2 linked regions of the Diceros bicornis minor genome follow. The protein of the gene in region 2 interacts with the protein of the main gene of each other region in a pairwise test. Links are inferred from orthologs where the notes say so. Each region holds a gene or a part of one and is shown on either strand. Other genes may lie near its edges.

Region 1 (7,547 bases), on a different chromosome or scaffold from region 2:
GGGCGGTGACATCATTATAGCGTCCCTGTCTTTAGGGGACAAATCTTTTCCCACCACGTATCAAAATGAGTTGAGCACATGCCTGACCCACAATCGGCCCATGATAAATGTGAACCATGATAAATGTGAAAGTATCAAGAAATAAATATCTTATCATCTCCTCCTGACCAAAGGCTCCTTAATTCATTTCACAATATTTATTGAATATCTCCTATATGCAAGGCCCTCTTCTGTGCAGGGGAAACCCAGAGTAAAAGCCCTCTCCCTTGTGCAGCTTACACTCTCGTGCAGAGACAGTTGGTAGAGTGCAAACAAATGGGAAACAGGTCCTGTTGGATCTGGGGAAACTTCAGAGATACAACGAAGAAGCTTTTGGAGACGGCCATCAGGGAGCTTCCTTTAGCTCGGGCACCTCTCTGAGGGTCTTGAGCTGAGGCAAACTACAAGAAGCCAGCTTTTTGAAGGACTGAGGGAAGAGCATTCTAGGCAGAGGGAACAGCACAACCAAGTATCTGGTGGCAGCCACCGTCACCTGTTTCTGGAATATTCCAAACCCTTTGCTGCTGAATGAGTGTGCAAACGAATGGGTAAGTTCACCAGCTGGAGAGAACCACCTCCTCTTTCCTTCCAACACTTAAGGGGGCTTGCAGCTGGGAGGGGGACCCAGGCCCTGGCCTCTGCAGCCTTTCTGCTCACTTGACCTGGGTGAGTGACTCAAACCAGTGAAATGGGGGTGAGAGAGAACCTCTCATGAGACCCAGCCTCAGCCCCAGATTATCTCCTCACCCCCAACCCCATCATCCACGTTTCCTTCTCTGCTGGATCATTCCCATCAGCTGAGAAGCTGGGGTCTCTCCACCTTAGAAGAAGCAAACAATACCCTCCCTTGATCCCTCTCCCCCCTACTTATTCCTCTATTTCCTTCCCCTTATATCAAATCTCTTCAAAACCGTTGTCCAGGGCTGGCCCCGTGGTTAAGTGTGCGCGCTCCGCTGCTGGCGGCCTGGGTTCGGATCCCAGGCGCACACCGGCGCACCGCTTGTCTGGCCATGCTGAGGCCGCGTCCCACATACAGCAACTAGAAGGATGTGCAGCTATGACATACAACTATCTACTGGGGCTTTGGGGAGAAAAATAAATAAATAAATAAAATTATAAAAAAAAAACAAAAAACCGTTGTCCATACTCGCCCTCTCAATTTCTGTCCTCTTGCCCTTTCTTGAACCCGTGAGGCTCCCACTGCTTCCTGGAAATTGCTCTCACTGAGGTCAGCCCCTAAAGACCCGCACGTAGCCCTCCCGTGGCCGGGCAGTCCTCACCCCTCGTCTTCCTGCTCCATCAGCAGCACGTGAGACAGCGGCCTGCCCCTTCCTCTGCTCCAGGACATGCCCTTGCCTGTACACCTGCCTCCCAAATCACCCATCCTCATCTCCCTGACCTCTTGATCCAGGTAAGCCTGGGTTCCCTTCTCTGTCCACACTCATCCTCAGTGCTCTCACCCAGGATCACGGCTTCATACACCATCTTTATGCTGATGACACCCAAATTTATACGTCCCACCCAGCTGCTCCCCTGGACATCAGTCCCTACATCCAGCTGCCTATCTGACATTTCTAGGATGTCTCAGAGGAGCCATCTCAGCAAGTGGCTCCTCTTTTTCTAATTGCTCAGGGCAGAACCCTAGGAGTCAGGCTTGATTTCATTCTCCCTCTCACACTCCCAGCCAATCCAGCAGTAATTCCTGGGGGCCCTACTGTCAAAATGTCCCCCAGCTTCCATCACCTCACTGCTTCCATCCTGGCCCAAGCCACCAGGCTGTCTCTCCTGGGTTAGAGCAAGGGCCTAGCTGGTCTCAGATCACACCTCCCCTCTGCACTGCACTTAAAGAAAAAGCCATGAACCACAAGGCCCTACAGGAGGTGGTTCTTCCACCACCTCTCTGTCCTAATCTTCTAGTATTCTCCTTGCCCATTCTCTCCAGCCACATTGCCCTCCTTGACGTCCCTTTGAACACACCAGTTGAGCTCCTCCTTCGAGGCCTTTGCCTGTGCTGTTCCCTTTGCTTAAACAATCTTCCCCACATACCTACATGGTTCATCCCTCACCTCTCTGTTTTAATCAACTGTCACTTACTCAATGTGGCCTTCTTTAACCAGCTTATTTAGACTGCATTCTATTCCATACATACTATATATTTTACTCATTTGCTTTGTTAATATCTTTCTCCCCCCAGCATCATAGAACGTCCATGAAGGTAGGATTTTTTTATTTTGCTGTTTCCCCCAGCACCTAGGGCAGCGCCTAGCACATAGTAAGCGCTCAATATTGATCGGATAAGTGAATTCTGTGCCTTTCTGGGAGCTCTTTAAGACACGATGTGACTATTATTTTAACTTATTTGCGCACATAAATGTCTCCCTTCCCCTGCTAGGGGAGCTCGGGGTCAGGCCCGCCCAGCTCTCAGATCGCAGAGCCCCCACGGGTCCCTCACAGAGTAGGGCGAACCAGTGCGGACGCCTGGTAATGGGACTCAGAAGGTCGGCGGGGCCCCGGGCCTACAGGCCGCCAGCCGCGGGGACACCGACGGGCCGAGCGGCAGCAATGAGAGGGACAGTTCGATCCACGGTCGAAACGACCCGCGGAGTCCACACCCGCCTGCCCCCGGGCGGAGGGCGGGTTCCAAACGCCCCAGGGATTCCGACCTTGAGGGCGGGGCCGGGCTTGGCCCCCCTCAGACAGAGGGGAGGAGGTCAGAGCCGGGGAGGATACCGGCCCCTCCTCGGGCCAGACGGACGGGCAGTGGCGTCCGGGTCACCTCCGGGCCCCACCTCCCCCCTACACTGCGGGCCTTCAGGCCCACACCCTTGGCCTTGGGAACGGAGACCCCCCGCCCGAGCCAGTGGTACGGCCCCCTTCCGGCCCCCCGCCAGGAGCGGTTGGTAGGGCCCACGTGCGTGACGCACACTGGGCAGTTGGTACGGGCCGGCCGGCCGTGGCCCCCGCGCCCGGTAGGGGGCGCCTGGCACCGCCCGCCCGGCGGGGCCCTCGCTACCCCCGCGGCTGCGGCGTCCGGGAGGATACAGCATCAGCAACCGCAGCTCCCGCTCTTTCTGCTTCATCTTCTTCAGAATGGTCAGAAGCCCCATGGTCGCGGTAGCCCCCTCTCGGCCGCCGTTTCTTTCTAGTCCCGGGACCCCTCTCCTTGCTCCTATTGGCTAGCACTCCCACCGGCAGCTCAGCCGATTGGTCGGCCTCTTGCTTGGTCCCGCCCTCTCCCCCACGTGACCGCGAAGTCGCCCGGCGGTGCCGCTGCGGCGGTCCCTCTAGCGGTGCTGGGGGCTTCTGCGCGGCCACCTGCGTTAACCCTTCACATCCCGAGGGCTTAGGGGACGAGGGCACCGCCATTCCTCCGCAGCAGGATCCCAGACTCAACCGGGAATGGAAACCTGAAGTTTCCTGGGTTGTATCTTGCCTGCAAAGAGAGAAATTCTAACTCAGGAGTCAGAACCGAGAGCCCCAAGGATGTTGACCAGCTCATCCTGGGGCCAGCATAGGGCTCTGTGCCCCGGAAACGTGGTCCAGATCCTGCGCATCTTGGGCCTCCCCCTTTCCCTGGCTCCTCAGATGGGAGACGGTGGGCCGAGGGTTCTCCATCGAGGGCGAAAATGCCTCCCAGGGGCCGTTTGTGCAGGGGCGTCATTGGGTTGTCCCAATGGCAAGGTAGAGTCCCTGTCCTTTAGAGGGCAGAGGACAGACCCGCACAAAGAATTGGCCTGCCCGAGATGCCCATCGTTTCTCTGTTGAGAAGCACGATTCATTTTGCCACTGAGAAAATTGAGGCTCACCGGGCGCTTAGCACAGCGACTGGCATATAGTAGGTGGTTTGTTGTTGAATGAATGACGTTGTCCAAGAGTTTGGTTCTTTACCTTGGCGCTCAAGTCCAGAAAAAGTGAGGAAACTGAGGCAAGGGACTAGGCAGATTGTAAACTCAGAAGGGTGAGCTTTGTTGTCTTGTTTTGAGCCCTCCTTCCAGCCCTCTACAAGATAAATATGAGTAGGCAGCCCAGAGTAGGCTTTGTCTGATGCGTGGGAAAGAACAGTCAGGCACCGGCTGAAGATAACGGCTAACTTCTGTGTAGTTGTTTACAAAGCACTCCGTGCTTTCTACTTCATCCCCCTGGCAACCCTGAGAGGTTTATTTCCTTTTTGTAGATGTGATAGTGGAGTCAGAGTTTAAGGAGCTTGGGCAGCGATTTAAACTCAGGTCTGGTCGACAGTCAAGTGCACTGCGTTTCCTGGTCCCTCCATGGTGTTGGTCTGGAGAGGGAGAGATCTGGAGTGGTCTGGACCTTCCCATCCTGCAGAAGAAGGTTGTGGACAAGGGAGGGCTGGACAGAACGGGGTGCCTGGCTGGGCCCCCTGGGACAGCACTATTTACCCTCCACCAAGCACACCCAAGGGAACAAAGTGGGCGTAACTCCTATTCAAAGGCTTTAAGACACAACTGAGATCACAGTGTGCCTGCCGTCCTATCTCCATGAGTCTCTGCTACAGAAATTCTAGCACCAGCAAGTGAACATTTATGACAAGGAAGTTCTCTGTGGCATGGTGTGGAATAGCAAGAAACTGGAAAAAATTGAAGTGCCTTCAGTGGGGATCAGTTACCCTGCTTGGGGTATGCATGTGTGGTGAATTCCATGAAGCTTGGAGAAAGGTGAGGAGGAGTGTTAATGCACCTGCATGGAAAGATGTCCGTGCCATGTTAAGTAAAAAAGGCGAATTTCAATTTTAAAATAACAATAACCCACTAAAGAATGTTTTTCAAACTATAGGATGCAGCCCATTAGGTAGATTGTGAAATTACTTTGGTGTCACAAATACGTTGAACCATATGAAATCACCCATATTCGACCGTTTTGACTACAAAGATACCAGTTTCGTATGGTTCAACCTAGTAGCATGAGCAAAATTTAAATAGAATGAACGGAACAGAAAACATTGCTGCCTTTGCCCATGAAGTAAAGATAAGTGGTATTTGTTGAACCGTCTGTTTCAGATATTTATATGGATGTGTGTACTTCTGAGAGGCACAGTCACAAAGTGTGAAAATCAGAGCAATTCCACTGTTAACTCTGGAGTTGGTTTGAGGGAAACTTAAAATGATTACCTGAAGCACTTCTGGATTGTTTTACTTTACTGCTGCCATTAGCACTAAAATCCTTGTTTCAATGCCAGGGTTAAAGCCCTGCCATGTCCAAGCTGCCCTTGTAGCTTCCCAGGGGCCACATAGTGGGGTTACAATGAATATCAATTAAAAAAACAACCTGGAAGCTCTGAAACAGTAGACCAGGAAGTAACTGTATTTAACTTTTTTTTGTGTGTGTGAGGAAGATTAGCCCTGAGCTAACATCTGTTGCCAATCCTCCTCTTTTTTTTTTTTTTTTTTTGCTGAGGAAGATTGGCCCTGGGCTAACATCCGTGCCCATTCTCCTCTACTTTATATGGGATGCTACCACAGCATGGCTTGACAGGCGGTGCATCGGTGCGCACCCGGTGTCCGAACCTGCGAACCCTGGGCCGCCGAAGTGGAACGCATGCACTTAACTGCTATGCCACCGGGCTGGCCCCTGTATTTAACTTTTGAAGAATGATTGCCAGTAGCTAGAAATCAGGGGGCTGGGTGGGGTGGGGGCTTTTAAAGACAAGTGTGAGGCCCTAGCGACAGGCGTATTTTCATTTGCCTTGTGGAAAGGAGGAAAGAGTGCTCTTAAGGAAATAAAATCTATGGGGAATACCTTTGGAGGAAAACTGGGCAAGAAGATGTATAGAGCTGTAGTTACATATAACTGTGAATATATATATTCACAAGAAAGAATCATGAAATTAAAATACCCAAATCCTGACAGCTGTGAAACCTGCTTTTGAAGGGAGAGTTTCTTGGGACTAAGTAAATGGATTGTAGCTTGAGGATGGGGTTCTAGACGGCTTTTTTTTTTTTTTAATGAAATTTGATCTTTAAAGATTTTATTTATTTATTTTTTCCCCCCAAAACCACAGTAGATAGTTGTATGTCATAGCTGCATATCCTTCCAGTTGCTGTATGTGGGACGCGGCCCCAGCATGGCCGGAGAAGCGGTGCGCGCCCGGGATCCGAACCCCGGGTTGCCAGCAGCGGAGCGTGTGCACTTAACCGCTAAGCCACGGGGCCGGCCCAAGATGGCTTTTTAAAAGGCATGATTTCCCAATGTCTGGGGAGGAAAATTTGGCATTATCGTTTTAATTTTAAGAGGTAGAGCCTGTTTGATCCAGCCATTCCACTTCGTGTATCACCTTTATAATCATAAAGGAAAAATAACAAAACTCTTTTTATTCTGGAACAACAACAACAAAAGCCGGGGGGGAAGACCTTGCTTAAATTATAATTGCTGATCATTGAGCATTAGCAAGAAGTATACCCAAGTGTTTATTTGTGTATATAAATATTTTAAACTTGTTCTAGATGCATTTTCTATCTGATTGTTTTAAACTATAATGTTTATATGAGGTTGTTTACAGTTACAGTTTTGATAAGAGAAATCCCGTTTTTCTCTGGTGAGACACATCTGTGATACAAGTTTAATTTTTGGACCACATGCACATGACAGAAGCACAAACCAGCACTTGGTGGCAGCATACCCAAGTGTAGGTTTTGTCCTACTAATTAGTAAACAAAGAACTGGAAGGTTGAATGAAACCTAATCACTGAAATGGCAGATGCCTATAGACCACAGTTTGGCCCTGGCCTGCTCTAAAAATCTCGCCTCCTATCTTCCTGTAGGCGTTAAGTATCCAAGGGTGGCCCTGTCCCCAGTGGGTGTGTCCACCGTGCAAGCCATAGCTGAATGCCTCAGATGGTATCAGAGTGTTCTAGCATCTTTGTAACAGGTCTCAGCCCAGCTGCCTCGCGTGGGAGGCAGAGGAGGTATTCTCTCCAACTTCCAGATGGCAAAATAAGCTGTTACTCACACCCCTGCCAGCCACCCACGGGCACCTGACATCCTCAGACCTTTCTAGAACCTTAGGAGTGGGGAACGACTCGAAAATCTGAGCTCTTCCAACAACTGCACCCACGTCCACCTCACCTGTACCTGTGCCGTCCTCAAAGGCACGGCTGTGCCGATGCTTCTTGTCTCCACAGGTCCTGGCTGGGGAATCAGGAGGAGGAGTTGCTGGGCCTTCACTCAGCAACCTGAGAGCCAGGTACCACTCTTATCTCCACCTGACAGGTGAGCCAGGGCCTCCCGTCACCTAGACAGCTGCAGCAGCCTCTGCTCAGAGCCTTCCACTGTCCTGTATCTTTCAGAGTTAGAGCCCCAGGTCTCCAGTGGCCTACGTGAATGCCCCCCACCCCCACCCCAGGCACTCTGCCCCCAATCACCTCCTCCTCCCCCTCCCCTTACCAATCCTCCAACCCACCAGGCCTGCCTATTCCCACCGCCCCTAACCCTTACCTCCCTGGCATCTCCCTCTCTTCAGTTCTTCACTCAAATGTCCAATGTCTCAAAAA
Region 2 (7,195 bases):
CATGGAAACACCTCCCACCTTTCCTAGAGCACAGCGCAAGCAGCACCCCTTTCCTCTGCCTCTTGGTAACAGGGCAATTAAATGTACTCTTCCAGAATCCAATCCCAGAGGCTGTAAACAGCAAACCTCTCCAGCATCAGCTCTCTCACACAGCCTTTTTTTTTAAATTCAAGTTTCTGTTGTTGACAGAGCAGAAGATACTACCAGAGTGGTCTCCAAACTGGACCACACTCATCAATTCTTTACTACACAGCCCCGGGGTCCTAGTCCTTCTGGACTACGGGGATGTATAAATGTCTTGATGTTAGCTGCTTTCTTTTTTCGCATTTCAGTGACTTATACTGTAAATGTTATTTGTGAAGTGAGTCAAATTCACATGTACTAGAAAAATACAAAGTCCTAGGCAGTGCCAATACTTCTGCCATCTCCACTGACTACCATCCACATTCCTCTCAATTCTTTTTATATAAACAAACAGAAACTGAAGAAACCCAACAAACTATTTCTCCTAACTTTATTAAAATGTGTCAAGTCACAAATCCTTTGTAGTAATACCGCTGTAGTAAATTGCAGAAGGATTCCTTTGTCAGCTACTCATTTGACAAGGCTGTAGTTACATTTCATTGCTACATATGAACAGATGTATTTATTCAACAGGTTGTCATTCAAAAGGTCTATTAGTCAGATTTCTTGATCAGTAACCCCAATGTTTATATTAAGCTCCTGCCCTTTCTACGTATTAGCTACAAAGGCTCCCAGCACACAGGAAGCAGTTACTTTTTGTTCTCTTAGTAGGCATGTATCACAATAAACCTCAATTAGATGCTGAGAACACAAGTAACAAAAAGATTCCTGGACACATGTAAAAAGTTATCACAATGTTTAACACTTCCTGGAAGCAACCAATGCAAAAAATACAACCTCCACAAGGGGCCTCTTCATTGACCACGGTGTCTCCCACATTAATAACGAAAGCTGGTGTGTATTGGCAGCAACTGACGCTGAGCTTTGCAACAATTTTTAAGCCATTGACAAGTTTCTTAACAGTAAGAAAAACTTTTTCCATGGACACACTGTCTTCATCCCCCACACAGTTTAGTATTTTGCCCTAGAGGTGTGATTCTAACTATTCAAATAGCAAAAAAAAAAAAATAGTAGTTATTCAAGGATTTAATGGTTGTGATTACATACATCACACAGTGCATGACAGCAGAACTGGAAAAAAAATCATATTCCAAACAAGCAGGAAAACCTCAATTTAAGAGCAAAAAGTATAAACATGCATCACATGCCTGACCACTCTCAGGCATATTTTCTTTCTGCTGCCCCTCCTCCACCCATAAATGCTAACTATTTCTAGAACCCTCAATGATAATTTCCAAAGCTTGCATGAACTCCCATGATACAACGTGACATACGTTTCATGAAGACGTTTTCATGGAGACAACGCTGCCCTATTTCCCCAAACTATAAACTTATTAAAATGGTGAGAACATACAGTCCCAGGAAGTCAGGATTACTAAAACACACCAATGTAGCACAGGTCTCATTTAACAAAAACGAAAATGAACCACACTGGGAAAGCCAAAAAAGTCACTCACTGTCTCTTCAATAGGCAATCAGGCTATTAATTACAATTTGTTTTAGGGAAGTCGATAAAAACACCACGAGGGCATTATGTTACCCAATCTGATAAAGGAGCCTTTAGGAAAAAAGGGGGAGGAAGATGATTGCTTACATGGGTGGCCCGGAGGAAGGGAAAATAAACCATTTAGACTAAAAATAACCCATCATTTCACCCACCATATTTAATTAACAAGCTTGTTTATATTAGCATAAGGTTCTTGTTTGGAAAACAAGAAAACCAAGAGTAAACTTCCCCTAAGTCAACTGTAAATCACATAGGTACTAAAACTGTTCACCTTGGTGTCTGCACAGTCCAAGGTTTTATGTAAACTCCAGAGACTGAGAAAATCTAGTTTTTAACTAGGTTCCAACACTTGTCATTTGTAATCACCAAATTACTTTAGAGACTATTATTAGAAAACCTAGCAAGAGGAGCATTTTTCAAGAGCCATCACAACCCAAATTTTACATGAAACACACCATTTTCACAACCTGAATTTAATCTCGGTTGCCACTGCAAAGTGAAGCCTGTTTCAGCAAATTAGGAACTTCCAAAAATACTGAACATGTTAACACATGCATGGCTTCCCTCGAGCTGCCATTTAAGATTAATAATTTCACTGGAATAAAAGTCTGCTTCTGTTCAAAAACTGACATCGGTTGCAAAGAGGAAGTTACCGAGAAACCACCCTTCACAACGTGGCCTTTACACTGTCAGAAAATAATGTGACTGTGCGACCCAAAACTTACCAGGAAGCTGGCAATAACTTTACCAATTCTACACTTCTGAACCCAACTTCAAAGAGGTTCTATCAAATGCCTCCTTAAGACGGTAAAAAGCACTAAGTTGGAAATAAACACGCCCGGGAGTGCGGCCCCGCGGCCGCGCGCCCCTCCCCCGCCGGCGCCCCCGCCCGGCCCGCGCGGCCCCAACAGCCGCCCGCAGCCCCCTGCACGCCGGCCGGGGTCGCCGCGCCCGGGCCGGGGACGCGCCCGCGGAGGGGAGCCTGTTTCCATTGCTGCCTGAGGTTTCACAGAATAACATGCACCGAAAAGAGCCCTCTCCTCCGCTAAAAATAGGCTATAAAGGAGTCGGCCTCATGATGGCTCCTTGATTCAATTTGCTGCAAATTCTTCCCTGAAAGCCTCCCCCCACATATACACACACGGAAAAAGGGGGTGTAAATGCACGAAGGGTGGAAGAAGGGAAGAAGGCCGAGGTGCACATTTTCGGGGACCACAACATCCTAAGGGTGAGGATCCCCCGAGACCAAAAAAGGGTAGGGGGTGGGCAGGCACGTGAGCATTTCAAAGAAGCCCGAGAGAGGAAAAGGGGGGGTGGAGTACCCCAAACGCCTTCCCTTCCTTCCCCTCCCCCACCCCAGCCCCAGCTCTCCAAAGGGCCAAGTCGAAAAATGCAGGTTCCACTGGCGCCCATCCCCCCGCGGCCCGGCGCCCCCCGGCTGCCGCCGCAGCCTGCGCCCCCCGCCCCGGCCCGCGGCAGCCCCCACCCCGGGGTCCGGCCCCCAGCGCTTACCTGGAAACGGTGGCCTCCGACGCCGCTCCCCCCTCCCGGGAATGGAGGCACAAGGAAATTCCCCTCCTCGCCGCCGCCGCCGCCTCCTCCAACCACCCCCAAAATAACCCCTCCGGGGGGTGAGAGGCAATTATAACCCCGGCGAGCGGAGGGCGCGGGGGATGGGCGCCGGGCGGGCGGGGGCGGGGAGCGCGGCGCGGGTCCCCAGGTGGCGAGCGGAGGTGCTCCCGCCGCGGGGGGAGGGGCGGGGGCGCACGCGGCCGGCGGCGGGGGGAGGCGGCGCGCGGGGGAAGGGCGCGAGCGGGGAGAGGAATTGAGGCAGAAGGTAAAAGCTGTTACTAAGGGAAAGAGCCAAACGGTTCGGAGCAGCCAACGGCTCAGACACTCAACACTGGGGAGAGAGGAATGGGGACCAGCCAGGCACAAATGAGCTCGCGAGGCCCGCGGCGGCGACGGCCGCGCAGCAAAACAAACCCGAGCGGCCTGCGCCGGGCGGGCGCGCGGGGGAGGGGCCGGCGGGGGAGGGGCGCGCGGCCGCGGGGAGGCGGCGGCGCGGCGGGGGGGGCTCCGCCGGCCTCGCTCCTCTCCCTGCGCCCGCCGCGGCGGCGCGGGGGGCTGGGCGGGTGCGGCGCAGGCTTTTAAAAATAAAGAAAGACCCGCAGGCGCTTCGCGGCGCCGCCGGGGCACTGGCCGCCCCGCCCCCACCGCCGCGCGGCCGGGTGCGGAGTCGTTTGGGTGTGGGCCGCGCGGCCCGCTGGGGGCGGGGCGGTCGGCGGGGCTCCTGCGGGTCCGGGGGCCGCCAGTCCCCGCGGGCACCCCGGCGGCGCGGCGGGGCCGGCTGGGCACACCCCCGCGGTGGGCATGTGTGGAAGCGCGGCGCAGGCATCATATGGACCTGTGTTTGTACAAAGCTCTGCACACACCTTTGTGTGCATAAATACATATGTTTCTCGGAAGCGTACCTGGAGAGGTGCTTTATCTGTAAGCAGCGATTTTCACAATGTAATCCGGAGCACGGGATCTGGAGAGAAAACACACACACGCAAGAAAAGGGTTTTGATGCTAAACACAAAGCTGTAATTGAAGTGTTTATGCCCAAATGTACTGTGAATCAAACATATGGTGGTATTTATCGTCTGGTGGGTCTGCTTGAAAGGTTTGGTCGATCAGTTCTCATTTCACAAAAATAAAATAATGTAACTAAATGTTTACTAAATATATACCTCTACGGCAGCATCGACAGTAGAAGTTTATCCACTTTGTGTACTTTTTGCATGTGTGTAGCACATCAAGGCAGTTTGTAAAGTATAACTTAGATGAGTGATAATGTGTCAATATAATGAAGGAAGGGAGGGCAGAGGGGTGTTTTAAAAAAGGGATGCACCTCACAGTTCTTAAAACGAATGTGTTTATCTTTCCGAGGCCCTCAGAAAGCAGGGGTTGGGAGTCTTAGATCTTTGTATAAGCCTAGAACATAAAAAGCAGCTGTCCTTTTAAAGATTTGACCTAAAAGAGAACTTTTTTGTTGTTATTTTCAGTTATTGGTGAATTCAAAGTACAATAATATTTTTTGCAGCCTTTTTAGATGAGGGGTTCTGTTTTCATGCTTTCATCACAATATTTGGAAATAGACGTAGTCACTATTTTAAAGCAATAGTCTTTTCCTCTCAATATCAGAGACCTAAATTTTCACACCAAAAAAAAGTTCATTCGAAGTATCTTTCACACATCTGGACTCCGGGTGGCCTAATAAGCTCAGTGACTAGACAGGTGCTTTTTTGGCCAAGGTCAAAGGCTATTTCCCCTGATGAGCCCTTACTTGGCGGGGAGGGGGAGCAGCCAGAAGCCTTTCCTGAGAGGGAGCAGGAAAACCATCAGAGGAAAGGGAGTGGGATTGGAAACTCCCTCACAACCACCAGAAGAGAGTTCACAGCATCTCAGTAGTTCGTCCTCAGAGCTATTTTAATATATGAAAGAGGGAATGTTAGATTAAACAATGTCACCCAATGGGAATTTAGATAACTGCCGGTTTCCAAAACACTGTGTTGAGTGTTCGGGCAAACAGCACAAAGAGAGCAAGTTTTGCATTTCAGTGACGTTCTAAGCTAAGGCTTACTGCAGAGCTCGCACCTTTGCAAAGACCATTTCCGAAGTGATGAGGGTATAGTACCTTCCTATTTTTTTTAAATGTTTTTAAGTATTGATTAATGACATATGTATGTTACTAAACATAATCTTCTCTTCAATAAGCAAACTATCTCAGTACAATTAGGCTTCATTATCTGAGCCACCCAGTGAGACAAATCGATTGGCCTAGCTTGTTTTTGGCCACCACACATGGGTCTTCTCAGCACCGGCTGCTGTAAAATCAAACCACTTTTCCAGTGAATGAGGATTTCCAAACTACACCGACCCTAGTTAATAGGGTCATCTCCAAACTTGGGGCCCCCAACTTATCATCCCTCAAAATGATCTCTATCACTCCATCTCCAAGGGAGAGCCCATCCTCCTTCAGGTTCATAGGGTCCAGGGCTTCCACCCTGAAGTTCTTATACCCTACACCAAGCTGCCTCCCGTCCTAGCAGGAGTTCTTGTTATCGTAATGATAATCATAATCCATGCGTTTGTTTACATCCTTGTAGTTATAAGATGTTTCTGTGCATAAATTACTTCATTTAAATACCATGATAAAAATCACCAAAGGTGGGGAGCTTTGCCGTAAACTAGTTCCAGTAAAATGCACCTCATCCGCCATGCTCGCTAAAGATAGACTTGAAGTACCTTTGGACAAAAAAAGCACTAAATGTGGAAAAGCCTTGATTCTCCCAACCAAGGGGTATTAAGTGAGATCATATTTTGATCACTTCAATTTCTATATTCTGGAAACTCTGAAATGACAGCGTGGCTGCAACATGAAATCCTCAGATAGATGAGCCACCATACAAAGTTCACATGTATTGCTACCCCACCCTCTAGCCATTCCAACTTATCTAGTATACAAGATCAGAGGCCTCACTTTATACAATTCAAGCAATAATTAGACACAGGAGTAATGTAAGGACAAAGTTAATTATTGTTACCAGTTTTCAGTGCTTTGTCCTAATCTAAAAGCTGTCCTTATGCTTTGAATATAAATGTTAATATGTTTCTAGAAAGGAGAAATTACTCTGTTACTAAGAAATTTTAAAGCAGAGGCACATTAAGAAAGTTCTCTTGAACTTTCTAGCTAATTACTCAACAAAGAGAAACCTCATACCAGTAACTGTTACCAGACTTTATATATATATTATAAAATGACTAAACAAATCTTGACTTGTTTTATTTCAGTAATATTACACCCAGGGGGTGTGGTATGGCAAGATAGCCTATACTTTTGCAACTTTCATCACTCGGGAAATAGAACATTTTAAAGTTAAGGTGGCTTAATCCCAGGTTATAGGATCTCATTACTATATATATTTTTAAAGCCACCATGATGTTTTATGTTGTTTGCATTAGCTGATCTATGTAATTAAAATGTTCAAAACCAACTTAAAAGCATGAAAAAGATATTTGATACCAAAAATATTATCCCGACACTATAACTCTTTGTATATTCTTTACTCACCCAGGAACTCAGTGGCTTTACGTCTGCAGTGTGTGCCCCCAAGCGTCTTGCTGATACCATGTGATACGTTTCTGTTTCGTTTTGACTCAACTTGTGCAATTCTTTGTCTGTGGTTCTTCCAGCTATCAGCTTTTGCCATCCGGACTGATGCAGATCTCGGCCACACATCTTAAGATCTCAGCACATTGAGATCTCCTTTTCTCCCTCTGTGCTTAGTGTGTGACTTCTGACCTTTCCTCATCAGTGTGAACCTTGTCACAGTTTTCCATGACTCTGTGACCCGATTTCATTACCACAATGAACTTTACTTGGGAGTTTTCATTTAAATTACAAAAGCAACACACAACCATCTTACAAGTATTTATGCCTTTCAGATAATGGAAATAGCAGGTTGGATTCTGCCTTTGTGATTCAGTCAGCACAGA

What was found.
Region 1: the proteins of TBL1XR1 (region 2) and ARL2 interact in binary tests that used the Homo sapiens proteins (3 or more experiments, as listed by UniProt). The two-hybrid records come from large-scale screens. The link is inferred for Diceros bicornis minor from reciprocal best matches to the Homo sapiens genes TBL1XR1 and ARL2.

Annotation. Positions count from the first base shown.
Region 1 is NC_080770.1:8,120,330-8,127,876, forward strand, and holds the start of ARL2 (ADP-ribosylation factor-like protein 2), read right to left. Parts: upstream 3,198-7,547; 5' UTR 3,147-3,197; coding exon 3,082-3,146; intron 1-3,081. Other genes in the region: BATF2 (basic leucine zipper transcriptional factor ATF-like 2), read left to right, coding at 7,160-7,266. UniProt on the Homo sapiens protein: Small GTP-binding protein which cycles between an inactive GDP-bound and an active GTP-bound form, and the rate of cycling is regulated by guanine nucleotide exchange factors (GEF) and GTPase-activating proteins (GAP).
Region 2 is NC_080754.1:45,361,490-45,368,684, reverse strand, and holds the start of TBL1XR1 (F-box-like/WD repeat-containing protein TBL1XR1), read right to left. Parts: upstream 3,207-7,195; 5' UTR 3,164-3,206; intron 1-3,163. UniProt on the Homo sapiens protein: F-box-like protein involved in the recruitment of the ubiquitin/19S proteasome complex to nuclear receptor-regulated transcription units. Plays an essential role in transcription activation mediated by nuclear receptors.